Linked DNA regions of Elephas maximus indicus. The protein of the gene in region 3 interacts with the protein of the main gene of each other region in a pairwise test. Links are inferred from orthologs where the notes say so. Each region holds a gene or a part of one and is shown on either strand. Other genes may lie near its edges. The genes, in order: KLHL42, CYGB and DDI1.

What was found.
Region 1: the proteins of DDI1 (region 3) and KLHL42 interact in binary tests that used the Homo sapiens proteins (3 or more experiments, as listed by UniProt). The two-hybrid records come from large-scale screens. The link is inferred for Elephas maximus indicus from reciprocal best matches to the Homo sapiens genes DDI1 and KLHL42.
Region 2: the proteins of DDI1 (region 3) and CYGB interact in binary tests that used the Homo sapiens proteins (3 or more experiments, as listed by UniProt). The two-hybrid records come from large-scale screens. The link is inferred for Elephas maximus indicus from reciprocal best matches to the Homo sapiens genes DDI1 and CYGB.

Annotation. Positions count from the first base shown.
Region 1 is NC_064822.1:86,559,278-86,569,490, forward strand, and holds the start of KLHL42 (kelch-like protein 42), read left to right. Parts: upstream 1-4,982; 5' UTR 4,983-5,521; coding exon 5,522-6,393; intron 6,394-10,213. UniProt on the Homo sapiens protein: Substrate-specific adapter of a BCR (BTB-CUL3-RBX1) E3 ubiquitin-protein ligase complex required for mitotic progression and cytokinesis. The BCR(KLHL42) E3 ubiquitin ligase complex mediates the ubiquitination and subsequent degradation of KATNA1.
Region 2 is NC_064837.1:66,754,418-66,765,474, forward strand, and holds the start of CYGB (cytoglobin), read right to left. Parts: upstream 4,278-11,057; 5' UTR 4,253-4,277; coding exon 3,939-4,252; intron 1-3,938. Other genes in the region: photoreceptor disk component PRCD, read left to right, coding at 6,840-6,913, 7,292-7,360. UniProt on the Homo sapiens protein: Probable multifunctional globin with a hexacoordinated heme iron required for the catalysis of various reactions depending on redox condition of the cell as well as oxygen availability.
Region 3 is NC_064825.1:16,531,993-16,540,837, forward strand, and holds DDI1 (protein DDI1 homolog 1), read right to left. Parts: upstream 3,603-8,845; coding exon 2,388-3,602; downstream 1-2,387. UniProt on the Homo sapiens protein: Probable aspartic protease. Seems to act as a proteasomal shuttle which links the proteasome and replication fork proteins like RTF2. Required, with DDI2, for cellular survival following replication stress.

The DNA.
Region 1 (10,213 bases), on a different chromosome or scaffold from region 3:
AAAATTTTGCTTTCATGTAATGTTAATGATATTGTTCGATAATTTCCACAGTCAGTTGGATTACCTTTCTTTGGAATAGTCATAAATATGAATCTCTTCCAATTGGTTGGCCAGGTAGCTGTCTTCCAAATTTCTTGGCATAGACAAGTGGGCACTTTCAGCACTGCTTCCGTTTGTGGAAAGATCTCAACTGGTATTCCATCAATTCCTGGAGCCGTTTTTCTCCAATGCTTTCAGTGCAGCTTGGACTTCTTCGTTCAGTAGCATTGGTTCTTGATCAGATGCTACCTCCTGAAATGATCGAATGTTGGTACAGTGACTCTGTGTATTCCTTCCATCTTCTTTTGATGCTTCCTGCATCTTTCAGTATTTTGCCCATAGAATCCTTCACTTTTGCAACTCGAGGCTTGAATTTTTTCTTCAGTTCTTTCAGCTTGAAAAATGCCGAGCATGTTCTTCCCTTATGGTTTTCTATCTCCATGTCATTATAATACTTTGTCTTCTCAAGCTGCCTTTTGAAATCTCCTGTTCAGCTCTTTCACTTCATCATTTCTTCCTTTGCTTTAGATACTCGATGTTCAAGTGCAAAGTTTTAGAGTCTCCTCTGACATCCGTTTTGGTCTTTATTTCCTATCTTTTTAATGACCTCTTGCCTTCTTTGTGTGTGATGTCCTTGATGTCATTCCACAACTCATCTGGTCTTTGGTCATTAGTGTTCAGTGTATCAAATCTATTCTTGAGATGGTCTCTAAATTTAGGTGGAATATACTCAAGGTCATACGTTGGTTCTCATGGACTTCTAATTTTCTTCAGTTTCAGCTTGAACTTGCATATGAGCAATTGATGGTCTGTTTTGCAGTCAGCCACTGGCCTTGTTCTGACTGATGACATTGAGCTTTTCCATCGTCTTTTTCCACAAATGTAGTCGATTTGATTCCTGTGTATTTCATCGGGCAAGGTCCACATGTATAGTTGCCATTTATGTCATTGAAAAAATGTATTTGCAACAAAGAAGTCGTTAGTTTTGCAAAATTCTATCGTGTGATCTCTGACACTGTTTCTATCACCAAGGCCATATTTTCCAACTACCGATCCTTCTGTTTCCAACTTTTGTGTTCCAATCATCAGTAATTATCAATGTATCCTGATTGCATGTTCCATCTATTTCAGACTGCAGAAGTTGGTAAAAAATTTTAATTTCATCTTTAGCCTTTGTGGTTGATGCATAAATTTGAATAATAGTAGTATTAACTGGCCTTTCTTGTAGGCGTATGGATATTATCCTATCACTGCCAGCATTGTACTTCAGGATATATCTTGAAATGTTATTTTAGATGATGAATGCAAAGCTATTCCTCTTCAATTTGTCATTCCCGGCACAGTAGACCATATAATTATCTGATTCAAAGTGGCCAATTCCAGTCCATTTCAGCTCACAAATGCCTAGAATATTGATGTTTATGTGTTCCGTTTCGTTTTTGACAATTTCCAGTTTTTCTAGATTTATACTTCATACATTCTGCATTCTGATTATTAACGGATGTTTGCAGCTGTTTCTTTTCATTTTGAGTTGTGCCACATCAGCAAATGAAAGTCTGGAAAGCTTGACTCCACTCATGTCATTAAGGTCGACACTTTGAGGAGACAGCTCTTCCCCAGTCGTATTTTGAGTGCCGTTTTTTTTTCCAACCTGAAGGGCTCATCTTATGGCACTGTATCAATGTTCTGTTGCTATTCATAAGGTTTCCACTGGCTACTTCTTTTCAAAAATAGACTGCTGGGTCCTTCTTCTGTCTTAGTCTGGAAGCTCAGCTGAAACCTGTCCTCCATGCATGACCCTGCTGGTATTTGAACACTGGTGGCATAGCTTCTAGCATCACAGCAACACACAAGTCCCCATAATAAGACAAACTGACAGACGTTTGGAGTTCAGTTATATACAAGCAATATTTTCATGAAGCCTGGAAATAATATTTTAGATCTTTTTGAATACAGAAGTTTATATTGATTTAACATTGCATTTCTAGCTTAACAGAAACTTACTGTGTGAGTTAATAAGATACTATCATTTTTTAAGATGGCCCCAGTCCTAAATGACATTATTATCTTTTCAGGAACCAAAAAGCTTTCAGGATCTGGTCCCTATATTGTCAGGCTAACAGCCCAAATTCCTTGTCCAGGCTTATCTTGCCCCAGTGCTATTATTGTAGTTGAAGTGCCTTTGTAATGCAGATCATTCTTGGAGTGTGATTTTTTTTTTTTGGGGGGGGGCATGGTGTCTGTTTTACAAAGACAAGAAAATACCGGTCAGAGGCATATCTATGACAGTTGGGAGACAAAAGCATCCATTGGTGAAAGATTCTAAAGGGACAGAGGAGAGACTAAGAGTCTGTTCTTCTTGGCTGACCTGCTGAATTGAGGCCCAAATAAGCCCAAGCCTCTTAGCTATGGTGAGGGTGGAGGGGGACCTCCCCTCCCCACAAAAGCCCCAAGTCTACTGCCTAATATTGCACTTGGTCCTTTGCAATTTCAAAGCAGTTGCGAAATGCATGGTCACTCACCCCCTTAGAATGTCTCAACTACACCCTCATTGAGAACAGAAGAGTGAGAAGTAGTTGTGAGAATGGTGTTTTTATCAGTATGATTTAAAGGGCAGGTGAAACAAGGTGAAGAGCGGGATGTTTTCAAAAGAATCTAAGAAAACTGTTTCCTTCATTTTTCCCATGTGGGCCAGGATCTACTAGAATTCTTTTCTGTCTTTTAAATGTCAGTTTCCTTGTTCATGGTGTATTATAATGAAAATAATGGATGTCAATACCTCACTATAAGGCAGCTAAATTACATGATAAGAAGCACAAATATAACCAAATAGTATGCTAAAGAATTTCATGTTTTACTAATATGACTTTGCTTTCTTCCTCTATTATTTTACCATCCCCCTGTTCCTAACAAAATCAGCATTGTAGGATGTGCATTCTTTTTGGAATAGGGAAAATATACTTTTGAAGAAGATATGACTGAACAACTTGTCAAGTTGAAGCTTGTAATTAAAAAAAAAAATTTATGGCCCTTTTGCAAAATAATTCTGAGATACTTTTTTATTATGATGAAAAAACTTCATTTGTACACAAAGGCATATATAAGAGAATAGTTTAATGATGCCCAAGAACCCATCACCCAGCTTCAGTATTATCAATATCTTGTCAATTTTGTTTCTCTACCTCCACCACTTTTTTGCTTTATTTTAAATTAAATCCCAGAGATTATTTCACTGATATGCACCTTTAAGTTGCAAGATTTTTTTAAATTTAATACCATGTCATGCCATTATTACACCTAACAAAATTAGTAAAATTATTACTGCCTTAATACGTGATACATTTCTAATCCTTTTCTGTGCTCTGGCTGTGCAGCTAATTCTGTGGCTGATGGAGCTCTGGACCTACTGGCAAAATGGAGGTTCCAAGGCAGGCACTGCCTGTTTATCTTGTGAACTCAGGCAGGTCACAGTGTCTCTTCTAGTTCCTCATCTGTAAAATGAGGGACTAGATTGGGTGGTATTTAAACTTCTTTCTAGCTCAGTGATTCTGCCAAAATACAATTGATAAGTATTAATGGCAGAAAATATCAATCAACAGAATATGCAATGCAAGAGGTTTTGGCTAAGGAAAAATAGGTTTATAATTTGGTCCTAGTTTTGGTTTTTCAGTGAAGAATTGAAACAGCTTGGTTTCCGCTGGTAATTCCTAATCATGGAAGTGAAAATCATATTGTAAAACTTAAGAAAAAGTGAGGTGACAGCACCTCACCTAACGTGATACTTATTCTAATACGAGGAAAGATCCACTATGAAACAAGTGGGGTGGGGTGGTGTGGGTTATCAACAGCTCCAAGTGAGCTTTCCTCTTCCTGACATCAAATGTTAATTTGCCTCGTAGGGGTTATCTTCTGTTTGTAGTAGGGGAAGTAGACTTGGAAGAAGATATTGTTTAACAGCTTGTCCTTCAAGAAGAAATTTAAACAATGTCCAATACTATTTTTCTCACATTGAGAACTATTATAGCAGGTTCTCAAATCTTGGTCAAGGGTTCTTTGTAAGATAGAGTAGGCACACCCTTCTCCTTTCCTTCTACCCAAAGGTAACAACGATATTTTTTCCCTCACCCCCTCCTTTTCAGGGATTCATAGCTCATGAGCAACACAAGGGTCCTTTTTATTAATTGGGGTGAACTTTTTATTTGTTCAGTGAGAGAAGATGGGGAATAGGTGGTTTCCCCTTAAGTAGTCCTCAGACTTTGGGGGCCAGGGTGAGACAACTGGTGATAAGAAAAGCCACCTCTGTAGGTAAATATGAGTAAAAATGGCCAGGCCTGATACCCAAAGATAATATTTCATAATGGCTAGCCCAACCAAGCTGAAATAGGAAAAGCAATGACTATTAGAAAATATTTGGTAGAAATAATCTATGATAAAAAAAAAAAGAAGGCACGTGTGACCTAACTTTATTTAGTTGAATTGTACTTCAGTCTTTTTTTCTTAATATCACGAAGAAGATAATAGGGTCCCAGAAACACAGATCATCCAGTGCACTGTGGACCCCATGAACTGAGCCCTCCAGAACTCGCAGCCATCTGCCTGGGCCTTCTGCAAGATGGCTGCTAAATGATGATCATACCTAAGCATCAGCTCTAGGTGCCACTGACATGTCGAGAGATGACCTGTGTGCCTGAGCCTTCTGGGACACGATGCCAAACTGGGCGAGATGATGGACCCCAAACATTATGTCTTTGACCCCATGGATCCCACCCCTTCATCTTTTTCCTGCCACATCGCTTCTTTCTCTTCCCAGTCCCCCCCATAAAGTAGAAGGGAAGAAAGAAAAAAAAACAAACTGGGTTCATCTTTCCTCCTTTAACACTCAAAAGCATCATTCCTGACACTGGCAGGGGGCAGAGCCCGTGCGCACCAGGCGTGCCGAGGAGGCTGCGGGGACGCGCGCCCTCCAGGATCCTGCCGCCTGCGTGTCAGCACCCCGGCGCTGAAGGCCTGCAGCCTTCCAGCTCTCTCCGAAAGCCGGATCCAGTTCGCAGGTCTAGCGGCTTGCAGGGGTCCTGCGGGCGGAAGTGAGAAGGGAGCGTGGGAGGAGGCTGCAGGCTGGGGGTTGGGATATCCTCCCTGCCTGACACCGCCCGGGAGCCTCGGAGCGAGGATTGCGGCCGCCTTCCGATGCCTGGCGGGCGGGAGCCGGGCCTTTTGTGTCGCTACGGGTGACAAGGACAGGACCGCTGCTTTGGGGGAGAAAGTCTGAATCGTAGCCTCCGGGCACTGAGGAGGGACTCCCTGGGGGGCTTCGCAGTGACCCAGTTAGGCCGGGCGAGCGCGGGAGCGGGCGACCCTTCGCCTCCCTCCTCCCGGGCCGCCATCCCTCTGCGCGCCCAACCCGGAACCCCGCGAGTGCGTGGGGGCGGGGAGGAGAGCGGCAGATCTGGCGGGACGACCCTCAGCCCCCGGCCTCCCAACCATGTCCGCCGAGGAGGTGGTGCAGATCCGCCTGGAGGACCGCTGCTACCCGGTGAGCAAAAGGAAGCTCATCGAGCAGAGCGACTACTTCCGCGCCCTCTACCGCTCCGGCATGCGCGAGGCCCTGAGCCAGGAGGCCGGCGGCCCCGAGGTGCAGCAGCTGCGCGGCCTTAGCGCCCTGGGCCTGCGACTGGTGCTGGATTTCATCAACGCCGGCGGGGCTCGCGAAGGCTGGCTCCTGGGCCCACGGGGGGAGAAGGGCGGGGGGGTAGAGGAGGACGAGGACATGGACGAGGTAAGCCTGCTGTCCGAGCTGGTGGAAGCAGCCTCCTTCCTGCAGGTCACGTCCCTGCTGCAGCTTCTGTTGTCCCAAGTACGGCTCAACAACTGCCTGGAGATGTATCGCCTGGCCCAGGTGTACGGGCTGCCTGACCTGCAGGAGGCCTGCCTGCGCTTCATGGTTATCCACTTCCACGAGGTGCTGTGCAAACCCCAGTTCCACCTTCTGGGGTCTCCTTCTCAAACCCCAGGGGACATCAGCCTCAAGCAGAGGCTGAGGGATGGCCGGATGACTGGGACTCCGGTCCTTGTGGCCCTGGGGGACTTTTTGGGGGGACCCCTGGCCCCGCATCCGTACCAGGGTGAGCCCCCATCCATGCTCAGGTACGAGGAGATGACTGAACGTTGGTTCCCGCTGGCCAACAACCTTCCTCCTGACCTGGTGAATGTCAGGGGGTACGGGTCTGCCATCTTGGACAACTACCTCTTCATAGTGGGCGGGTACAGGATCACATGCCAGGAGATCTCTGCTGCGCATTCCTACAACCCTAGCACCAATGAGTGGCTCCAGGTGGCCTCCATGAACCAGAAGAGGTAAGCACTCCAGTAGTGTTGCTTTTTTTCTCCATTCATTCATTGTTCGTTAATTCATTCCACTAATGTTTATTGGGCAGTCACAGGAGATGGTGCTGAGGTGGAAATGACATCTGTTTCTGGCCTTGATTCTGTCCAAGTTTCCAATGAATTAAGAACTTGCAAGGAAGAAAAGGCCCCAGTAAAGTAAACCAGCTGAGTAGTTTTCTTGTAGGTATTGCGCCTTTAGGCAAAACTGCTTTCTTTGCCTCTATCCTAGTGGAAAAAAAGATGATGTGATTTCCTAGATTTCCTAGGATACTTTATAAGAGAGCTGCTCTTTAATTTTGCCTTTTTTTTTTTTTTTTTACTTTTTTAGGATTGTGTTTGTAGTGACACACTGGCCAGTAACCTTTAAGGCAGGCTTTGAGGGTTTTTTTTTTTTTTTTCCTTATTAATGACTTAGAAGCCTCCCCTTTGGGCGTCAGTCCATCCATGATCAGGAGATAATCTTTAGAATTTTATTTTTATTTGCTATATAGGATTGACTTTTATAATTTTATCCTTTTTTGCATCTTACTTCCTTCTCAGATAGCCATCGCCATTGACCCAAAGATCGAGCCTTACAATGGTCACCTACAGAAATGGAATGTTTCCATCCATCCCAACCTTCTCCCTTCCCATCCTGCATATCCCTCCTGCCATGAATATGGGTAACTTGAGGAAAAAAAGAAGGAGTGTGGAGGGGGGGTGGTGGTGATGGTGAGTTGGGAAAGGAACCAGGACAGGAATAGGAAAAATTAGAGTAAAGAGCAGATAAAGAAAGAGGTCGTGGGAAAGAAAGATGGTAGAGCATAAAATGGTTCAGAGCCATTCAGAAATGGGAGGAAATCGTGTAACCCAAGAAGGGATAGGAATACCATTTCTTCTGGTTCACCACCCGTTTACATCTCAGGCCCAACCATGATCCCTACCCTGAAGTGCTGAGCAAGTGAACTCACAGAACCAGGCAAAGAAAATCTTAACATGAATGGGAGGCCTTTATATGTATTTGGAGTTCCTGGGTGGCACCAATGCTTAAGTGCTCAGCTACTAACTAAAAAGTTGGTGGTTCGAACCCACCCTGAGACACCTGGGAGGAAATATCTGATGATCTGCTTCTGAAAGGTCACAGCCGTGAAAACCATATGGAGCACAGTTCTACTCTGACTGACGTGGGGTTGCCATGAGTTAGAACTGACTGACAGCAACTGGTTTACTTTTGTTATTTTTTAAGCACGTATTTACTGGATTGAGGATTCTTCCAGGTCGGAGATTATTTGGGGAACAGCCTTTATTTCTACTTTAATGTAAAATTGATTTTGCAAAGTATTCCTTTTTTCCGATGATGAAAGGGATGGGTATTCTCTGTCACCTTTATCACACCCATCTCCAGCTCTATGATAAATCTGCCATCCCCAGGTTCATAACTAACACAGCACATTTTTAGTAGCTGAAAAATAATAGCTAATATTTAATTTAGCACTTATTCTGTCTAGGTACTGTTGTTGGTACTTTGCATGTATTTGTTTTTATTGTACTTTAAGTGAAAGTTCACAATTCAAGTCAGTTTCTCATAAAAAAACTTAAACACACGTTGTTATGTGACCCTAGTTGCTCTCCCTACAGTGTGACAGCATACTTTTCCTCTCCACCCTGTGTTTTCTCTGTCCATTCAGCCAGCTCCTGTCCCCCTCTGCCTTCTCCTCTTGCCTCAGAACAGGAGCTGGCTACATAGTCTCATGTGTCTACTTGAGCTAAGGAGCGCACTCCTCACCAGTATCATTTTATGTCTCATAGTCCAGTCTAATCTTTGTCTGAAGAGTTGGCTTTAGGAATGGTTTTAGTTCTAGAGAGTCCAGGGGCCATGTCCTCTGGGGTCTCTCCAGTCTCAGACCATTAAGTCTGGTCTTTTTATGTTAATTTGAGTTCTGCATCCCACTTTTCTCCTGCTCCATCAGGGATTCTCTGTTGTGTTTTCTGTCAGGGCAGTCATTGGTGGTAGTTGGCCACCATCTAGTTCTTCTGGTCTCAGGCTGATGGAGTCTGTGGTTTATGTGGCCCTTTCTGGCTCTTAGGCTCATATTTTCCTTGTGTCTTTGGTGTTCTTCATTATTCTTCACTCCAGGTGGGTTGAGAACAATTGATGCATCTTAGATGGCCACTTTACTCTGCATGTATTCATCTTGCTTATTCTTCACAAGGATTATATTAGGCAGGTTCTCATTTTACAGAGGCAGGAATTGAGACACAAAAGTTAAGCAGATTGCCCAAGGGTGTGTAATAATTTGAGGAACCAATATGTAAATATCTATTGAATAGATGTAACCATTTATATTGTTTACAATTTTTAGCTTGTAGACTTGCAGTGACCGTCTTCTTGCAGATTATTTTTTCCTTTTTAAAAATTATTTCCTATTCAAGAAGGGGAGCACAGGTATTTGAGGGTACTATACTGCTTTTTAAAATTTTATGTGCATAGGCTTCACCACAGCCTTTATGTCCAACATTTGTCTAGTCACTGCTAAGTGTTCAGAAACATGTCATGGCTCCTGCTCTCAAGAGGTTTCAAGTTGGATTAAGGTGAAGAGACAAGTAAAAGTGGAACCTAGAATGAGATTGTTTCTGGGTAATACATCCAGTACAAGTCCCACCCTGGAGAAAGCTTGGAACCTTGGATTAGAAGGGCAGGTTCTAGCCTGCAGTTACACAGTATTTCACGTCTACCTTAATTCACATTTGACAGGATCTACCATGGGATGAGCTCTGGTGGCACAGTGGTCAAGAGCTGAGCTGCTAACCAAAAGGTCAGCAGTTCAAATTCATCAGTTGCTCCTTGGAAACCCTATGGGGTAGTTCTCCTCTGTATGGTAGGGTCACGATGAGTTGGAATTCACTTGAGGGAAAGTGGTTTTTTTTGGTTGCCACGAGATGAGGGATTCTGGTGGTGCAGTGGTTAAGGTGGTTAGCTGCTAACCGAAAGGTCGACGGTTAGAACCCACGAGCTGCTCCACAAGTAGAGATGTGGCAGTCTGCTTCCATAAAAATTTGGAACTTTGGGCATCATTCTGAGTGAAATAAGTCAATCACAAAAGGACAAATGAGACCACTACTATAAAAACTCATGAAAAGGTTGCAAACAAAAAGAAACAATCTTTGATGGTTATGAGGGAAGGGAGGGGTGGGGGTGGAAAAACACTAAATAGGCAATAGATAAGTGGTAACGTTGGTGAAGGGTAAGACAGTACACAATACTGCGGAAGCCAGCACAACTTGTACAAGGCAAGGTCATGGAAACTCCATAGACACATTCTAACTCCCTGAGGGTCTAATTTACTGGGCTGAGTGCTGTGGGGACCATGGTCTTGGGGGACATCTAGCTCAATTGGCATAACAGAGTTTATAAAGAAAATGTTCTACATTCTACTTTAGTGAGTAGCGTCTGGGGACTTAAAGCCTGTGAGCAGCCATCTGAGATACTCCACTGGCCTTACCCCTTCAGGGGCAAGGGAGAAGATACAAAGGAAAGATTCGTCCAAAGGACTAATGGACCCCAACTACCACGGCATCCACCAAACTGAGTCCAGTACAACTAGATGGTGCCTGTCTGCCACCACTGACTGCTTTGACAGGGATCACAATAGAGGGTCCCAGACAGAGCTGGAGAAAAACGTAGAACAAAATTCTAACTCACAAAACAAGACCAGATTTACTGGCCTGACAGAAGCTGGAGAAACCCTGAGAGTATGGCCCCCAGAGACTCTTTTAGCTCAGTAATGAAGTCACTCCTGAGGTTCACCCT
Region 2 (11,057 bases), on a different chromosome or scaffold from region 3:
TACCACAACCCCAGGGCAGAGCCCAGGCCTCGTGTCCCCGACCCATGACCCCAGCCCAGGGTCTGGAGTGACATTAATGACATTGGCACCTCTCTCCCCACCGGGCCTCCTGTCATGTGAGGCGTATGCAGGGACTCAGTCAGAACTTACATAACTTAACTGAATCCTCAGAAAATACAGAGAGTGTCTCAGACCTGTTATTTCAGGCCGTTTCACACCTTTGGAGTGTTCCCCTTTGTGATCAGAGTTGATAATTTGCTAAACCAACCCTTTGGCCAGGACTCTGATCTGGGAGCTGGAGCAGATGCAGAGAGCATGTGGCCTGGGCTGTCCCTTCGGGTGACAAAGCTGCTCCTGGCAGGGGAGATTCGGACAGTGATCTGGGCTCAGTCCATGTGGAGACCAGAGAGGCCCCCCTCAGACGCTGAGTATGACCCTGGACAAACCACTTCACAACCCATCTGGCTGCAAAAGACAGGAGTCCCTTCAGCTCCAAACTTCACAAATGAGGCAACGCGTCTGAAAATGCACGGGATTGTTCTGGAGATGCATTGTAAAAGCTATAAAACCAAACCCACTGCCGTCAAATCGATTCCGACTCATAGCAACCTTATAGGACAGAATAGAGCTGCCCCATAGCGTTTCCAAGGCTATAATCTTTATAGAAGCAGACTGCCACAGCTTTCTCCTATGGAGCAGCTGGTGGGTTTGAACCACTGACCTTTTGATTAGCAGCTCAGCACTTAACCACTGCACCACGGGGGCTCCTTTAGAAAATAATAGTAACAATACAAAAAAAAAAAAAAAAAACCTGTTGCCATCAAGTAAATTCCGATTCATAGCAACCCTATAGGGCGGGGTAGAACTGCCCCATAGGGTTTCCAAGGAGCGGCTGGTGGATTCACCCTGCCGACCTTTTGGTTAGCAGTCGAGCTCTTAACCATAAATAAAAACATTTATTGAGCATGTACTGTATGATCTCATTAATCCTTGCAATACCCTTCTGGGGGTGGCACTGTCTTTCCCCACCATATTGTTGTTACGTGCCTCCAGTCAGTTCCGACTCATAGCGACCCTATGCACAACAGAACAAAACATGCCCAGTCCTGCGCCATCCTCACAATCATTGTTATGCTTGAGCTCATTGTTGCAGCCACTGTGTCAATCCATCTCATTGAGGGTCTTCCTCTTTTCCGTTGACCCTGTACTTTACCAAGCATGATGTCCTTCTCCAGGGAGTCTCCCCATCTTATGAATTAGGAAATTGTCACCCAAGGTGGCCCAGTGAAGTAGGCGGTGGCACTAGGAACGACCCAGAGAGCCCCTGCTTTACAAGATGCTGCGCCAGGGGGATCATTGCCTGGGACCCAGGCAGATCTCCTGCCTCCACGCCCAGCACCGCATATATGGGCTTGAGCAACGACAACCTGGGAGTCCCAGCCCAGGGCCCCTCACTGGGCCATGGGAAGCTGGGAGCCACGAGCTCTGCCCCTTCTCTCCCCTGTGCCTCTACTCCTGACCCCCCAGCCCAGCCTGTGCTGTCAGGGAGAAGCTTGGGGAGAAGCCAGTCTTGGGGAGTTTCTCAGCTCCCAGAGGCATCTGGACTTCCAAGAGAGCCAGAAATAGGCTTGTCTGAGTGTGAGGGGGAAGGTGTCAGAGTTACAACTGGGAGGGGAGCCTTCACAGAGCATGGGTGTTCCCTCACTGCCCCCTCCTCCCAGGCAGGGAGGTGTGGGGTCTGACTCAGACCCCTAAGGCAACTCCTCCACCTCTACCACCTTGGCTGCCTCCTCCTTGGCCTGCGGGCTGATGAGAGCTGAGGGCACTGGCCAGGCCTTGGAGGAGTGAGGGGTCAGAAGGTGTGTCTCAGGCTCTAAAGGGGCCTTGCCCTCCTGGATGTAAGGGTGATGAGGGAGTTGTAGCAAGACAGGGGGATGAGGACAGGAGCAAAGGATCTGGGGAGGGGAGACCCCCCCCACCAGAAGCTCATCAACCATGCTGTCAACCCTCCCACCCTCCCCACTGGCCAGGCCCTGGGCAGCCAACAGGAGACAGAAGAGATGGAAGGTGGCAGGAGGCATTGAAATGGTCCACACAGGGGTGGGGTCAGGTGAAGTACATGGGGGCGGGGGTGTCAGCAGGCCCTTTCTAATTAAGACTTGCCAGCTCTCTTCCGCTTTCTGGGATTAATGCAGGACCTCTGAGCACTTTGGTAAACACCCTCCAGCCCAGGCCCAGTCTCCCCTAAGAGTCGGGAGTGGGGAACTCAAAGGGGGTGTAGAGAGAGACAGGAAACCTTACCAAGGACTTCACTATCCAGATACAGCCCCGCCCTCAGCGTGCAGTCCCTTCTCCTGCCTCCCACCCCCTGCTCCACTCCTGGGGGCCTTCAGTGGTACCTCAGGAGATGGATCTTGGACCTGTCCCCTATCTGTCTTCCCTGGCAAATGGCAGGAGTTGAGACAAATGATCCCCAGAGGTCCTTTGGGCCTCTTCACTCTGGGGCCCTTGCCTTGCACAGGGCCCCCCACGAAGGCAGAGTGGTGTGTCTGCAACTCTGCTCCCCACTGCGTGTGGGGTGCTCACACGTGCGGGGCTGCATCTCTGGTGTCTGAAGGCTCCACAATCTGAATCCCCCTCTCGATCCCCACTCCCAGCCTAGCTGGGCTCCTGGGCCTGGGAGGACTGCGTGGGTTGCCCACATGGCTTCCCCCTTCCTCAGGGGCCTTCCTGAGCTCTTTTGAAGTGCTTCTCACTCCTTTTCCCCTAAAACTGTGTCTAAGTTGGAATCAGGGCATATCAGTATGGAGCTGGGTAGGTCCCAGGCCGCTTGGGGGAGGTGGAAAGAAGAGAGTGAGTGAGGGGGAGAAAGAGGAGCTGAAGTGGGGCCAGGGGAAACAGGGTATGCATTTCAGCAAGGCTTCCCCCTTATTTTCAAAGAATAAGACTGCCCTGCTCTGCCCCATATTTGAGGCTCCCCCTGCCAAGGACAGGGTGTGAGGGCGACCATGGGTGGGAGTCTCTCCGCCTGCACCCCAGGGACTAGCCCGTGTGGGAAGAAGGCACTGGTGTGTAGCTATTGTGCTTGGCTAGCTTGTGGGGCTTGGTGACATTAAGTATATAGGAATGGGGCGTGCGGCTGATGTGTAGGTGTGTGAAAAACCGTGTCACCCTATGTTTTTGGGTCCCTGAGGGGAGTGTGGTGCCTGAATGACCCCTAAGCCCAAGATAGGGTCTTTCCTCCCTGGGTAGGGGTTTTGGGCTGGGGCTCTGTCTCCTTCCACCCAACTCAGCGGGACTGTACCTGGAGGGTCTGGGGGCTTCTCCACTCACCTGTGCCTGGCCTCCAGCTCCCTGCTGGCCCACCCGCTCCAGGCTAAAAGGAGCAGCTGGGAGCCCTGGACCTCAAGATCTACTCCTGATTTCTGCTCCCTTGATCTTTGCTCTACTCTTCCACGAGGCTTCCAAAAGGGGCTGAGCTGGAGAGAGGGAGCTGCTCCCCTTTGCCCCTGTTCCTGGCTGAGACTCAGTATTCTCATCTCTAAAATGGGAGACCCGGCTAGTCCCATCTGAAGCAAGAGTAATATGTGTATGGGTGACGGCTGGGCTGGGTGGTCGGGTGAGGAGGTCGCTGGAGAGGAGGCACTGGCTGCCTGGGCAGGAGTTCTAAGACCCAGGAGAGAAGGATAGAGATGCTCTCCTTCCGCGTCCAGTTCCTCGTTCCTGGGGAGCCCCGCGCCCTGGAGCCAAGAAGGGCTCAGCCAGCACTTCACCCACCCCAAGGCAACCCACGCTGCCCGAGCCTCACCGGCCTGGCCTGGCCCCAATCGCAGCTGGGGAAGTGGCGATGGAGCTCGGACCCGGGCCGAGTCCGTCCGTGCCCGGAGCCGCTGCCGCGCTCCCTCTCCCGGGCCCGCCAGGGCCAGGGCGACACCTACCTCACCAGGATGGCCACCCCCACGTCCTCGCAGTTGGCATACAGCCGGGCCCACGTCGCCTGCACCGCCTTCCTCTCTGCCTCGGACAGCTCCTCGCTCCGCTCCCTGCGCTCGATCTCCATCTCGCCCGGCACTTTCTCCATGAGCAGCTGCAAGCCCAGCCCGGCTGGCTCGGCGGCGGCGGGGCTGGGGGCGCGGGGCCGGCTGCGTGCGCGGCGGGCGGGCGAGGGGTAGAGCGCGCCGGAGGGCGGGAGCGTGTCTGTCTGTGTCTGTGCGCGCTGGGCGTGAGTGAGTGAGTGAATGTGTGTGTGCATGTGTGTGTGTGTGTGTGTGTGTGTGTGTGTGTGCAGGGTATATGTGCGGGGGGCGGGGGACCGCGAGCGGGGGGCGGGGATGTGGTCTGGTCTGCAGGAAAAAGCCTTAAAAAAATAAAGACGCTCCAAATCCCCAACCGCGTGTCGCCAGCCAATTCGGGCAAGGTGAAGGCTGGGCGGGATGGGGGCGTCGCTGCTGCCGCCCGCCCTCCAGGCCGCCGCGGAGTTGGCCGCTGGGTAGGTGTGGCCGGTCTGCCGAGGGTCTCCGGAGCAGGGGGCGTTCACGAGGCGCGGGGAGGCGCCGAGCGCACAGAAGTGAGCCCCGGGGCGGGTGTGCACGCTTCACAAGGCCGGGCACTGATTCAAAGTCAAACACTGCCAGGCGTTCGCGCCGGGTCGCCCACCGCCGGCCCGAGGGACGCACACGAGCCTCCCCGGCAGCGGCCGCGGTCGGGGCTTGGCTCGCCCTCGTTCCGGGCCTCTCCGGATCCAGCGCTGGGCCCACGCGGACCCCGGGCCCCTCAGGGTTTAGGACTACTGCTGCAGGGATGGGGACGGCTGTCGGAAATGGACCACACCTCGGAACCTGGCCCTCAGAGGCCTGCGCCCCCTTTCCTTCCGACTAACACAACCCCCCACACCGCGGTGCTGGTGGACAGAGTCCGAAGGAAAGGCAGCCGGCCGCAAAGAGCAGCAGGGGGTCGAGAAGTCTTGGGGGAGGCGTCATTGCTGGAGATATCTCACCACCACCACCAAGGCCCCATCAGGGAAGGTCCTGGTGGGCCCTGCCCGGGGAGCAGGACAGATAAGGTGTGGGTGAGACTGGGCCAGAGTCCCCGGGTGCCCACCTTGTGAAAAGTCACTAGTGCTGGGGACTGCCAGGTCCCACTTCTGGCTGCAGGGTCTGAAATGGATGCCACAGCACTGGGCTGTGCCGTCCTGCCTGAGGCACCCTGGTGACCCTTGTTTTTCGCAAGACTGTATTCCGCAGCCTAAGCATTGCAAGGGGCTGGCTGCTCCTTTCAGTTCTGGTTGTGTTTATTTTTAAAATCCTGTTTCCAGGTAGAGAACTGACAGGTGCAGTAAGCACGGGCCCAGGCCTTTCGAAGCTCAGGGTCTGCTTACCTTAGTGAGAGTCCGGGTAGGAGGCCTCCAACCCCAGGAGAGGGGAGGAAAACCCAGTGCCTTCCGAGGAGTCTGGGAGGGGGTGGAGGAGAGGGGTGACTCAGGTTCTCAGATGGCTCTCAAACCCATGCCCTCCTCTCGGGCTGGACAGCCATGGCCATCTCAGGCCCCATGTTCCAGGCGGTGCAGGTCTGATAGTTTCCCAAAGCTAGCATGTTGGCCTTCAAGAGGATGTGGAAAGAAAGTAGAGCTCTTTCTATTCATTTTTAGCTCATCCTTTACAAATTTTATGTATGTTTTATGATATAACATATTTGCACAGTAGGAAAGTATATAACTTATAATACCAAACCCACTGCTGTTGAGTCAATTCTGACTCCTAGTGATCCTATGGAATCCCTGATGGCGTAGTGGTTGAGTGCTACCGGGACTAACCAAAAGGTCAGCAGTTCAAATCCGCCAGGCGCTCCTTGGAAACTCTATGGTACAGTTCTATTCTGTCCTATAGGGTTGCTATGAGTCGGAATCGACTCGACTGCGATAGCTTAGTGACCCCACAGGACAGAGTAGAACTGCCCCGTAGGGTTTCCAAGGCTGTAAATCTTTACAGAAGCAGACTGCCACATCTCCCGCACAGTGGCTGGTAGTTTCGAATCACTGACCTTTCAGTTAGTGGCTCAGCTCTTTAACCACAGTGCCACCAGGGCTCCTGATAAGTGGATGCATATATCTGTTTTGTGAGTGTACTTAAATTCCACCTTTTACTGAAAAGATGTGTCATCAGAACAGTTCAGAGAGGACTGTCCAGAAGATGAAACTGGACCCTGAGCTAGACGCCTGGGGCCCCTTGCTCTCTCACGTCTTTCTGGCCTTATCTAATATTCTCTTCCTCCTCCTCCCTGTCCCGAGGGCTCCACTGGGACACCAGTGTTCCCCCACCGGTCCCCCACACCACTCAGCTTCCAGTCCTTTCCTCCCCAGCCCTTGCAGATCCTTCTAAGGCCATCCTTCCTGGTTCACCTGTAAGTTAATGTGCCCCCAGCTCTTCTCGGGAGCTTTGCCTGATGCTTGCAACTCCCCGAGTGCTCTGCAGGTACCTTTAATAGCACCTCTGTCACTCTTGTAGGCATTTGTTGAACTTGACAGTGCAGTTGTCTAGACTGTTGGCCCCTGGAGGGCAAGCCCTGTGTCATTTGTATTAACATTCAGAATAGGTGCTCAGTGTCTGTTGAACGCATCGACTGAGGTGTGTTTACTCTGCCACTCAGGGAGGACCCTGGGCCCAGTGAGGTTAATCAGGCCTCACAAGGTCTGGTCGGCTGACCTGGCTAATCAGCTTGAGTTTCCTAATCCATCACCACCAGGAACCTTGGCTAGAGAGCTCGTCAGAGCTGGTGGGGGCCATTTTGGGCCCTCACGGAGGCCTTCTTCTGCAGGCAGGGTTCTGGCCTGGGGGTGGGGCATGTGCACCACCCTCTTCCTGCTGAGCACCTTGGCCATGCTCTGGCGCCGCCGATTCGCCAACCGGGTCCAACCGTGAGAAACTGCCGGGCCCATGGGCTGGGGCAGGGGTGGGGAGGAAGGGCTGGGCTGGGCTAGAGCCAGCCTGAAGGTGGCCAGGGGCTGCCTGGGCTCCAGGGAGGTTGGGAGGGTACTGGCCAGGAATCCCTGAGAGGCTCACTCTCAGAATGGAGACAGGTGGAGGTGCGGAGACTGGCGAACCAGGAGAACCGGAGCCTCTCTGTGTCTCAGCTTCTCTCTTAGTCCTGGAATAGGAAGAGGGGGCGTGGGGTTCTTGGAAGGCACTAGGGCCGAGGCCTCCAGTCCCACTGCAGAAGGTGGTGAGGTCTTGGAGAAGTAGGAGAGAAGGCGTGGGTGCTGGCACAGCTCTGCCTGCTGTTCTTCCTCCCACAGAGAGCCCAGCGGTGTGGACGGGGCAGTGGTGGGCAGCGGCTTGGAAGCTGACCTCCAGGCCTCAGGCAGGTAAGGCAGGGGAGAGGTGGGTGGGGGAGTAAGGCTACTGCAAAGGAAGCTATGGTGGCCCTGCTTGGGGTGCACACGTGGTGTATGTGTTCATGTGTGTGTGAGTATGTGTGTGCGTGTGTGCATGTGTGTGTGTACTGTATGCTGTCCAGGAGGTACAGGCCCCTTGCCCCAGTCACCCAGGTCCCTGTCTGCCTGGTAGGAAGGCTGGCTGTTTTCTCAAACTGGGAGCCCCAGCCCCCACTGCTGGACCAAAGCTGCTCTCCTTGCTTGTCTGATCTGAGCCGCGCACCTTCTGCTGGAAGGGGCAGGGGCGGCAGACAGAGGGACAAGGCAGATGCCTCTCTGCCTGGCTTTGCTTGCCTTCCCCTTCCCCTCCCCCATCGCCTCGACCTGCCCAGCCTCAGCGGCTCCACTGCCTGATCCTCCAGCCGGATTCGCTGTCCAGTCCCCAATGGAAGGCACAGGAGGAGCATGACATCATCAGCATCAAGCGCCATTGGCTGGTTGGCCCCTGCCGGCAGGACCAGGTCTCCTGTGGCCGGAAAATTAACTCTTCCCTGGGATGAGGCCATGCGGCCTTTGGGGGTGAAGTCTGGGCAACTTACAGGCTTTTCTGTCCCTGGGTGACCAGTGTTTTCTTGGATAGGGGCTCCTGTGGCCAAGAAATCACTGAAAACCCAACTCATATGCATTAAATAGGTGTCAGATGTTTTTTATGGCCTGTAGACCCCCGGAGAGTGGATGTCTGTCTGAAGAGTGACGTCACCTTATAAGCAAGTGTCTACTAGGCCCTGGGCATTTCTTCTTTACAGAAACAGAACAAAAATGATTACAGGCCCCCCTCAGGCTGCAGGGCCCCTTGAAGGAGGGTGTCCCCACACAGGAGCTCCAATGGCTGGGATGGTCGGCCCGCACGTCTGTGAACACCCGTGTCTCTTCCTGGGTGGGGAACCCGCCACAATGTATCCCTTAAATCTAAGGCCAAACCCGTTGCCATGGAGTCGTTTCCGACTCACAGCGACCCTATAGGATAGATAGAACCGCTCCACAGAGTTTCCAGGGAGCAGCTGGTGGATTCCAACCAAGCTTTTGGTTAGCAGCCAAGCTCTTAACCATCATGCCACCAGGGCTCCAATGTATCCCTTCCCAGAAAGCCCAGTGCCATCGAGTCGATTCCTTTAGAGGTACAGAAACTGGCCAACCAGGAGAACTTGAGTCTGTCTCCATATCTCAGCTCCTCTCTTCTCGGTCCTGGGATTCTCCAGTTACCGAGTGTCAAAAAGCCCCAGGGAGAAGCCCTGAACATGTACGAGAAACAGAGGCAATTCAGGAATACCCTTCCTCTCCACGGTGCTGTCGTTGTTAGTTGCCATCTAGTGGATTCTGACTCCTGACGACCCCATAAGTGCAGAGTAGAACAGCTCCAGTGGGTTTTCAAGGCTGTGACATACCCGGAAGCAGATCACCAGGTCTTTCGAGGCACCTCTGGGTGGGCTGAAATCTCCAACCGTTTAGCTAGTAGTCAAGTGCTTAACCATGTGCACCACTCAGGGACTCCAAGACTATCATAACAGTGCCTAACTGAGGCTAGTAATTAAATGGGCTGACACCTATAAAATAACCAACATTGGCTCATGGACAGGAGGCACTTGAATGTCAAGTTCCGCCTGGAGCTGGGCAGCCAGAGTCCAAATCCTGACTCCCCTCTAACAAGTGACTTTCGGCAAATAATGTAGCCTTGTTATATATATATGGAGCCCTGGTGGCACAGTGGTTAAGAGCTATGGCTGCTAACCAAAAGGTCGGCAGTTCGACTCCACCAGCCGCTCCTTGGAAGCCCTATAGGGCCATTCTACTCTGTGCTATAGGGTCGCTGTGAGTTAGGATTGACTTATAATGAATTTATTATATATATGTTAAACGGGGTTAATAATATAGCCTTATTATATGTATAGTAAATGGGATTAGTAGTGTAGCCTTATTATATATAGAGCCCTGGTGGTGCAGTGGTTAAGTGATACAGCTGCTAACCAAGAGGTCGGCAGTTCAAATCCACCAACTACTCCTTGGAAACCTTGAGGGGCAGCTCTACTCAGCCCTATAGGGTCGCTATGGGTTGGAATTGACTTGACAGCAACTTTTTGTTTGTTTGATTTTGTATGTGTTAAATGGGGTTAATAACAGAGTGGTTGTGAGGATTAAATGGGACATCATCCTTGTTAAGCACGTGCCACAGCATCTGTCAGTTTGTAGTGCTGTGGTGGCTTGCGTGTTGCTGTAATCCTGGAAGCTATTTCAAATACCAGCAGGGTCACCCACGGTAGACAGATTTCAGCAGAGCTTCCAGACTAAGACAGACTAGGAAGAAAGACCTGGAGGTCTAGTTATGAAAAAAAGATCAGCCAGTGAAAACTTTATGGATATAGCAGCAGAACATTGTCTGATAGAATGCTGGAAGACGAGCTGCTCAGGTTGGCGACGACAGGCTCAAACATAGCAACAAGTGTGAGGATGGCACAGGACTGGGCATTTAATTCTGCTACACACACAGTCGCTATGAGTGGGAACCAAACGGATGGCACCTACCAACTGCTCAGTAAATGTGTACTATTCTGGCTGCAGTTTTATACGTCATTAGTGTTTTATTCAGCTCTTTTACTTCATCATGTCTTCCTTTAGCTTCAGCTACTCTACATTCAAGAGCAAGTTTCTTTTCTGTCTTATTAATAACCTTTGCTTTCTTCACGTATGATGTCCTTGATGTCATCCCATAACTCGTCTGGTCTTCTGTCCATTAGTGTTCAATGTATCAAACCTGTACTTGAAATGGTCTCTAAATTCAGGTGGGATATGCTCAAGGTCGTACTTTGACTCACATGGACTTGTTTTAATTTTCTTCAGCTTCAACTTGAACTTACATAGGAGCAACAATGGTCTGTTCCACAGCTGGCCCCTGGTGTTGTTCTGACAGATGATATTGAGCTTCTCCATTGTCTCTTTCCATGGATGTAGTCGATTTGATTCCTGTGTATTCTGTCTGATGACGTTCATGTGTAGAGTTGCTGTTCATGTTGCTGAAAAAAAGAGATTTGCAATGAATAAGTTGTTGGTTTTACAAAATTCTAACATGCAATCTCCCATGTCCTTTCTATCACCAAGCCCATATTTTTTAACTACTGATCCTTCTCTGTTTCTAACTTTTGAATTCCAATCACCAGTAATTATAAATGCATCTTGGTTGTCTGACCAATTTCTGACTGCAGAAGTCAGTAAAAATCTCCAAGTTCTTCATCTTTGGCATTAGTGGTTGGTGTGTAAATTTGAATGAGGGATATCATTGCTGATGTCAGGTTTATCTTGGCTGAAAACAGAGAATACCAGAAAGATATTTACCTGTGTTTTATTGACTATGCAAAGGCATTTGACTGTGTGGATCATAACAAATTATGGATAACATTGTGAAGAGTGGGAATTCCAGAACACTTAATTGTGCTCATGCGGAGCCTTTACATAGATCAGGAGGCAGTTGTTCAAACGGGACAAGGGGATACCGCATGATTTAAAATCAGAAAAGGTGTGCATCAGGGTTGCATCCTTTCATCATACTTATTCAATCTGTATGCTGAGCAAATAATCCGAGAAGCTGGATTATATGAAGAAGAACAGGGCATCAAGATTGGAGGAAGACTCATTA
Region 3 (8,845 bases):
GCTACCTCAGAAAGGGCAGGCCTTGTCACTAGATGAGTTTATACAGATGTTTCATGACAATATGAGACTGTTGTCAGGGAATTCAATTATAGGATTGAGATGAAGGCAGGATGGGTATTGTTGAACTGAATAGCATTTACGCTGTCTTTTAGTTGAAAGACTCTGATTTTTAGACTGGCTCGTATGTACCAGACGTCCTGATAGGCTACATGCTAAGAGTTTATTTGATATTGACCGGACTCATGTAATATGCAATTTGGAGTTTTGTTTGTTTGCTTATATGGACCTTAAAACTGAGTCCAGAAGAAGATATCAAGGGTTTACACATATTTTTTCTTGTAAAGAAATCCATGCATTCATTAGGTCAGTTCTCATCAATTCATAGGCATTTTGTTTATCTCTGGCTTTACTCTGAATTTTTTTCTTCATATTGGTAATTACATTGTCCGAATCAGAGTACTTCATTGGAAACAAAAGTAGAAAAGCACTCTGTCCATTTGGTCATTGTTAGCAGCTGTGCTGGGCATAAGCCCTGGTGCAAGGGTAGACCAGGTTAGGGAATGTGAACATAGGCTATACCTCTCAGGAAGAAGAAAACTGGGACATGAACTGAGAATGGCTGGAGGGGAACAGGTGTCTCTTTAGAAAGAAAGTGATTAGTCTCAGGAAGAAGTGGACCAAGAGAAAGATATTATTATAGGGAAGCTTTTTTTTTTTTAAGCCATAGAGAGTGCTTCCAGTGGCTATAGATCTTAGGAAAACAGCTGGAATGACTGAAAGGGTATTTGAGATGAAAAGATACAGTCTTAGTACTTGAAGGTGCCTTTTCTTCCCAAACAATTTACAGATGAGGAACCTGAGTTCTAAAATATGTGAAGTGATATGCCTAAGTAACATAGAACTAGTACTGGAGCCCTGGTAGCACAGTGGTTAAGAGCTCGGCTGCTAACCAAAAGGTCTGCAGTTTGAACCCACGCCCTGGCGGTACAGTGGTTAAGTGGTCAGCTGTTAATCTAAAGGTCAGTGGTTGGAGCCCGTCAGCCACTCTGCTGGAGAAAAGTGTGGCACTCTGCTTCCATAGGGATTACACCCTTAGGAACCATATAGGGCAGTTCTACCCTGTCCTGTAGAGTTGCTGTGAGTCAGAATTGACTCAATGGCAATGTGTTTGGTTTATTTGGTTTATCAGAACATATGTTTCATGTCTTTGAATCCACTGTTGTTTCTAATACCAGTCTTGATAAATTATGGCCCTGAAACATTTGCCCTGAGTCTGAAGACCTCAGGCAGCTGAACCTTTTCTCTCAGGTGTATTAACCACGGGTTGTAATTAAGCCTAGGCTCCTCCATTTCTCACTACCAGTAGTAATGGAGAGTAGCCCTGTTGGAATGGATCATGGAGGTGAACGAGGCATTAGAGATCTTCTCATTCAGAAGTTTTCAAATGTTATTTTAGCAGTTAAACTCTTTTTTCAAACCTCTTACATAACTGCTTAATATATAAAGTAGATTTTTTGAAAAAGGAGTTGGTCTAATATTGATCTAGTATGAGTATTGGGGCACTTGGGCCACTGCCTGCCTGCTGCACCCCATTTCCAACAGCATGCAACCGGCAGGTTCCCGAAAAGCACCATAATTTGGGAAAAAAAAAAAATCGAATTCAGTGCCTTCATTTTATAGCCAGGGTTTCTTCGTACGCAAGGGAAAGAGAAAATTATTTTAGGAGAAAAATCTGGAATATGGCAAAACTAGCTTGCAGGGTGGGCTGCAGTGAACTTGCTATAGAAATGACTGACTTCAGGGAAAGGAAAATATAAAATAGGAAGAAATGGGGCTTTATGCTGTCCAAATCAGAGTTACAAGTATTAACAACTCAAAAGTATAACTGACCCACCGTTTCTAATACCTTTCACACACACAAAAAAAAAAAAAAATCTGGGAAAACAGACGTGTTTCTCTGAATATAAACAATCATTAGAGGGAATATGAAATAGTTTTGCTTAGATGCCTTGTAGGGTCTGTAGCAATGGCTTTTTCCAGGAATTCTGCAAAATAGCAGCTGGTTTGGACAAGCCACCTTTTAATCTGCTGGGATAATGTCTCTAAAAGAAAAGGCTGGTTTTCCTTTTCATGGATTATCTGGAAATCAACTGGAGCCTCCAGAGCCTTCCCAGTATGAGGTTCCGTGACCTCTGGATAAGGGAAACGGAAGAAGGGCCAAGATAAAGCAAGTACGATTTACATAATTACAGGTCTCAGAACTTAGTCCAGAGGCCAGGTTTAGTTGTTACTGATGTTTTTAATGGTTACATTGCCACTGAGCTCATTTCTTATAATTTCTTGGGACCTGAGACAGCCTCAAGGTGGTGATACATTTACAACCTGCTTCAGTGCCTTTTCCGTCCGGAATCCGTGACTGATTTTTTAATAGGATCTGCTACTTCCTTGTCAGAAGACTCCTCATGCCCAGTATCACTTACCAGCTTAGCACATGGTGGTAACTCTCCCTCAGGAAGAAAGAAAGTCTGTGTGCCAGTGGTACCAATCACCAGCATGTTTTTCTTCAAGTCAATGGAACATTGGTGTCTTTTGAGCATATCTAGTCCTAGAAGCATGTCCATGGGCTGCTCCTCGAGTACAGAGAAAGAGCATTGTAAGAAATCACCTTCAATCTGAATCTGAGCTAGATGAATGCGGCCAATAATTCTCTGTGTGCCCACTCCTTTAGCAATCCCAGCCCATCGTCGGTCCACCAGCCTTATTATGTTACATCTCTCAGCACAAGCTCGGCTCATAATGGTCATCTGTGCGCCTGAGTCAACAAAAGCCTTCAAAGGATGCCCATTCACTTTGCAGTTAATATAAAGCATTACCACTTGTGCAAAACTCTCGGGAGCCTCTTCTATTGCTATATTCATGTTTTCCTCGATGTTCTGCTGCCGGATTTCTTCTTCTATTTTAGCCTGAGCTTCCAGATCAAATGGATCAGCAGAATAAAGGCGAAGCCTCTCTTGTTCTCTCAGAGCCTTCTCCCTTTGCTGCTCCATCAGGACCTGAGAAAAGGTCTCTAGGTTTCCACTGAGCAGAGCTTCTGCCAAGCGAGGGTTGCGTTCTTTCAGCAGGGACAGATCATGGGGATTGGAAAGCAGCATGCTTCGGATCAAGGCTGGGCTGTCCAGACCTTGAGAAGATACCATTTTCTCTCCGGAAGCCAAGCTTCGGGCCTGCTGGGCTGTTTGTGCACGTTGTTGCTGCTGCTGTTGCTGGTACTGCTGCTGGCGGGAGCTGGATGTTCCAGGCACAGCTATCCCACTTATATCTATTCGAGGCTGGTCTGGTGTTCGTCCTGGAGGCCGAGGTTCCACATTCTCCTTCTGAAGTAAGACTACAACATCACCATCTTTTAGGCCATAGGAACCTAGGGAACAGTGGTCATCAGCAAGGAGTCGCTCCATATAGATTATCTGGGTCTCATCAGTAGGGATGCCAGACTCAAGCTCACAGAGCACCCGGAAGTTATGAAGCTCAAAATCAGGGCTGACCTGGAGAGAGAAGGTTACCTCGGAGAGGTCCCTCCGCACACAGTACACAGTGATCAGCATGGCACGGGCCCGGGAGGGCCACGTCGACAGATGGCATTGGATCGTTCACTGGCTGACCGGTCTCCGTTGGTGAGCCACTGCTTCTCACGACTTGGCACTGCTGCTCAGGCTCCTTCACCTCTCCAAGAGGCACAGCCACTCACCAGCCTGGGGACCTCGTCCCAGCTTCAGTGCCTGCTGCTCAGGCCCATGGAGCCTTGGGGTAGCTTGTTGAGTTCCAAAGTTCATTTGTAGGTGTGCTCTTTGGAACTTAGAATGCCTATTCCCATAGACACAAAGTTGCTCAAGTCCGTTGGGTTCCAAGGCCAGCCCTTAAAAGCCAATTGAGGATATGCTATGGAAAAGATTATTTCAGCTCTTCAAAAACACTTTCACGTTCATTTAATTCTAAAACTTTTTTACGTTCTTTTCCTTATTCCCTGCATTGTTTCCAACAAAATAGATGTTACCTTATGTGCTTGATACGAAAGATAAGCCAGACTCGATGCCTGCCCTTGAGGATCTCACATCCCAGGGAGGGATTGATGGGTAAATGGGTAAACCAAATAATGGGGTAAGTGCTTTTACGAAGATGTGGTCATCTTGCTAAAGAAACCAGTAGATCAAAGTAATTTTCTCTCAAGAGGACATACTCAAATTGGAGGATGAAGATGACCATTTTCCAGGTGAAAAAGTGGTGAGCCTCACTCCAGACAAAAGGAAATGGGTGTATAAAAGCAAGAATTCATGGCAAGGCATGAATTCTTGTTATTTCCGGAGAAAGATGAGAAAAGTAATAGGAGGAATTTGTACATTGAATGGCAGGATATAAAGCAAGACCCAATTTATATGTGAATCCAAGGATTTACATGTCATCAGTAAGCAAGAATCCCCCCTGTATTTATAAAAGAGAAAGGAAAGCAAAATATTTGAAGACGGTACTTACAATTGAGTTTTTTTTTTTTTTTTAATTCATCTAAGGAAGACATTTCTAATGATATATGGAGAATCCAGGGTGGCAGAAGGCCCAGTTAAGGGGCTTTCTCAATAGTTCAAAAAGAGAGCTGTTGCTAAAGTCTGAAAAACTGAGGATGACTAAATTGAAGCTGTGGGGAAGGGAAATGTTTCCTAAGTAGAATGGACAGGATTTGTTGACACATTGGGTATGGGGAATGTAAAGGAAGCAAATTGTATGGATAAGAGAGGGTCTCTAAAATGGGATACTCGTTAGAAACAGTCACTAGGTGGTACGGTTAGTGTGCTTGGCTGCTAACCAAAAGGTTGGCAATTTGAGTCCACCCAGAGCTCCTCAGAAAAAAGACCTGGCGATCTACTTCCAAAAAATCAGCCTTTGGAAACCCTATGGAGCACAATTCTACTTTGACACACATGCGGTCCCGATGAGTCAGAATTGACCCAATGGCAACTCGTTTGGTTTTTGATTAGAAATAGGTGTGGTCTTGAGTGGGCAAGTGAGATGAACCTTTGTGGTGATCAATCTGACATTGATTCTGCAGTAAAATGAAAGGTGAATGCCACACTGGAGGCCAGATATGGTTCTCTCTTTGACCCTGGGGCACAGGGCTTCCCTTGTTCCTACCAGAGTAGACTCAGGGTAAATGGTGACTGGATGGAATTTCCTGAGTGCCACTTAATTTTCTCTACATTTCCTAAAGTGTTTATCCTGACTCAGTTTTCCCAAGTGTAATCACTTATGGAACACAAGCCAGTCAACATCCTCTGCCTCCTTGCCTTTCCTTATTTCAAATTTTGTCAGAAAGGATCTGTCGTCCCATATAGGAGAGCACTGTATCAGTTTAGGGGATTTTTTTTTTTTGCTCCTTTTTCTCACATGTTTGACATCTTAGATGGAAGAAGGTGTCTCACTCCTTGCTGTAATTGTCATACTTCCATATTCATATTCATTTATATTAGAAATGTTGAATGAGTGCCCAGTGTGTGTGAAGCATGCGCTAAGTGTACCAACATGAATAATGTACACACAGGCTGTGTCCTTAAAGGAGCTTATGGTGTAAAAGAGGAAAAGTACACACACACACTTGAAATATTAGGGGGTGAAAAAAACCACAGTAGAGGCCTGTACTGTGAAGGAGAAATTTATAATATCTGGAGAGCAAATGAACGAGATGGTGAGGGCTGTTGGACAGGGAAGGCTTCTTGAAAAAGCTAGGCTTAGAAAGATGCCAAGGAGTCAGCCAAGTGGGTCAGAGTTGGCGTGGAGAAACCCAAGAAACCTGCCAAGAAAAGTATGTATGGCCTGACTTTGAGCCTTTAACTGGAAAGGCAGCTCTTCATGATACGGGGGTTTTATACAACTTGGGGGAAGAAATCTAGCATTGTAATTTTCCTGAAGAAAATTGTAAATTATTTTAAAAAAAATTATTTATTTCCCACTATTTATAGAGATGAACGGCCCTTTGGCCCAATGATATTAAGTTATTAAATTTCTTGGCATCCTGATAAGTTCAGCAGACATCAGTAATGGTTTCTTCTGAGTTTGGAAGCAACTTTAATGTGAGCGATACCACATGTAAATCCCTGAGCTAGAGAATAGATGAGATGCCAGCGATACTTGGATTTAGTGCTACGTTTCCCTCCCCCCACCCCCCAGTAGTTTTGAACAGTTTGTTCTTAAAACCTTAATACTTAGGGAGATAATACAAGGGTGTTATTTTTTATTTTTTAAGTAGTGGATGAAATTAGTTTTATAGAATAATTTGGGGGCAAAACAAGAATTCAGGGTTCACATCAAAGTAACATCTTTTTTTCATTAATATTAGCATTGCTTTGTTACTGAACATAATGGAACTTTTTGCAATCTTTTTATTATCTTCTGGTAATTTTTCACTTTTGATGGCATTTTGCATCAATGTGCTTTTTTACTATTTTACTCTTAGAGCATAACATGGAAAGAAGAAAACCTATCTGACCAATTAACTGTCATCATTTCATAGATCACAGGGCGTCAGGACTGGGAGGCATCCTTCTCATCCTCAAGTCTTGTTGCGAAAGAGTCTGGAATCTGAAAAGATAAACACGGCTTCCTGGGGCTGTTGAGCGCTTCCCATTATGCGTTGTTTTCTCCTTTCATTTTACTCAGTACTAGGCATGGGGTCGCTATGAGTCAAAAATCGACTTGACGGCGCCTAACAACAACAACACTGGTGATTCAAATATCATATGTATAATTCTCTTACCTCAAAATTTTAATAAGGCATTTCTTCTGATTGTATAAAAAAAATTGGGGATTACTGGGCCATATACACTGAAACCTGTGAGAGCTGGAACTCAGCAGGGCTGCCTTGTTTTTCTGGGTCTTGCAAGTTTTCTGCCTTTGACAGGTTGCAGTCTTACCACTCTTCTAGTAATCATTTTAGTGGAAAATATTTGCGTTTTCCTCCTCTGACAGGTTTTTGCCTTACACAGGTTCTGGCTTTTGCAGGTTTTACTGTGTAAAGAAATATTCCTAATCATAAAATGTTGTTGTACCATAAATCCCTATTGCACAGATTGCTGAGAAAGGAGTGATCTGAATTATCCGGGTGTATTAGCCTTTTTTTTTTTTTTATTAGTCTAAGGAACTCAAGATTATTGTGACTTTTCTTAAGGAGTTCTTTGTGAAGTATATTCTCTTATTTTCCTTCCTTGGTAAGTACAATATAGAAACATAATTGAATCTTTCTTTGAAAAGTGAGACTCCTCAGGGTCTCGGGCTATCATTCAGAAAACCAATTCTCATTGTATAGCATAAATGCCGAGAAAACAGAAGAGAAGGCTCTGATCTCATGCTGGCCAGGGAAATAACCTCGAAGTAATTTTTTTGGAATTAATCCATAATAATACCTTTTATAATTTGTCTCCTTATAAAGCTTAATGTGGCAAAAAATCCAGATAATTGATGGTTCTACTTATTAGTCAGTTAAAGCACTGTCTGTTGCTTTTCAAAGCAAAATAAGTCTTTTCTATGAAAAGCTGGAGAAGCCGATAAATGTCATTGTGTAACATATACAATAATTAAACTACGTTAAGAACTACATTAGCTTGCTATGTGCCTGGTATTTCTTTTAAAATAAGGTGTAATTGAGATTTATTAAGATAGTTAAATCAACACTTGAGATTTTAATTTTAACTTAGGAAAGAGGCAGAATTTTTAAAGTCGTATGCTTAGGTTAAACAACTAATTTTCTTACTCTTCAATTATTTGCTTTGTAACAATGCAATAAATTATACCAGAGTTGCCATGAATGGATAGCATTTATTTCTATAGATAGTTAATTATTTCTACAGATAGTTAATTATTTAACAGGTACATTAAAAATAGTGTAATGAAAGCTTAGTCTTAAAACCTTAGTAAGTTTTTTAGTATGTTTCCAAATTTTCCCATATGAGAAGGTTTAGTATTGCTTGTCTTTGAAGCTTAAACATCATAAGAGCTGTTAAATAAATATATAAATAAGCAGATATGTAAATATATAAATGAGCATATTTTTGCTTTATTTTATAGATTATTAGTTCTAACATGTCATGACAAAGATGCATATTCAGGTGCATATTGAATGTTGAAAATAGTATAACTTTTGGATTATGTACTTTCCAAGTCAACATATACACGTGTGTATGTGTGCATTTACTTATTTTTCAAAAAGTTAATGTTATAATTTTATGCCTGTCTTAGTTACCTAGTGCTGCTGTAACAGAAATACTGCAAGTGGATAGCTTTAACAAAGAGAAATTTATTCCCTTGCAGCCTAAGACGCTTGAAGTCCGTGTTCAGGGTGCCAGCTCCAGGGGAAGGTTCTCTCTTTCTCTGTCAGCTATGGGGGAAGGTCCTTGTCATCAGTCTCCCCCTGATCTAGGAGCTTTTCATCGCAGGAACCCTGGATCCAAAGGATGTGCTCTGCTCCCAGTGCTTCTTTCTTGGTGCTATGAGGTCCCGCAGTCTCTCTACTTGCTTCTCTTTTATATATCAAAAGAGATTGACTCAAAACACAACCTAACCTTGTAGATTGAGTCCTGCCTTATTAGCAAAACTGCTGATAATCCCACGTTATTAACATAATAGAGGTAGAATTTACAACACAAAGGAAAATCACATCAGATGACAAAATGGTGGATGATCACACAATACTAGGAATCATGGACTAGCCAATTTGACACATTTTGGGGGGAACACAACTCAATCCATAACAATTCCCTATAGTCCCTTCCAATCAGGGCTTTACATCTTTTCATTCCAGTTTGAC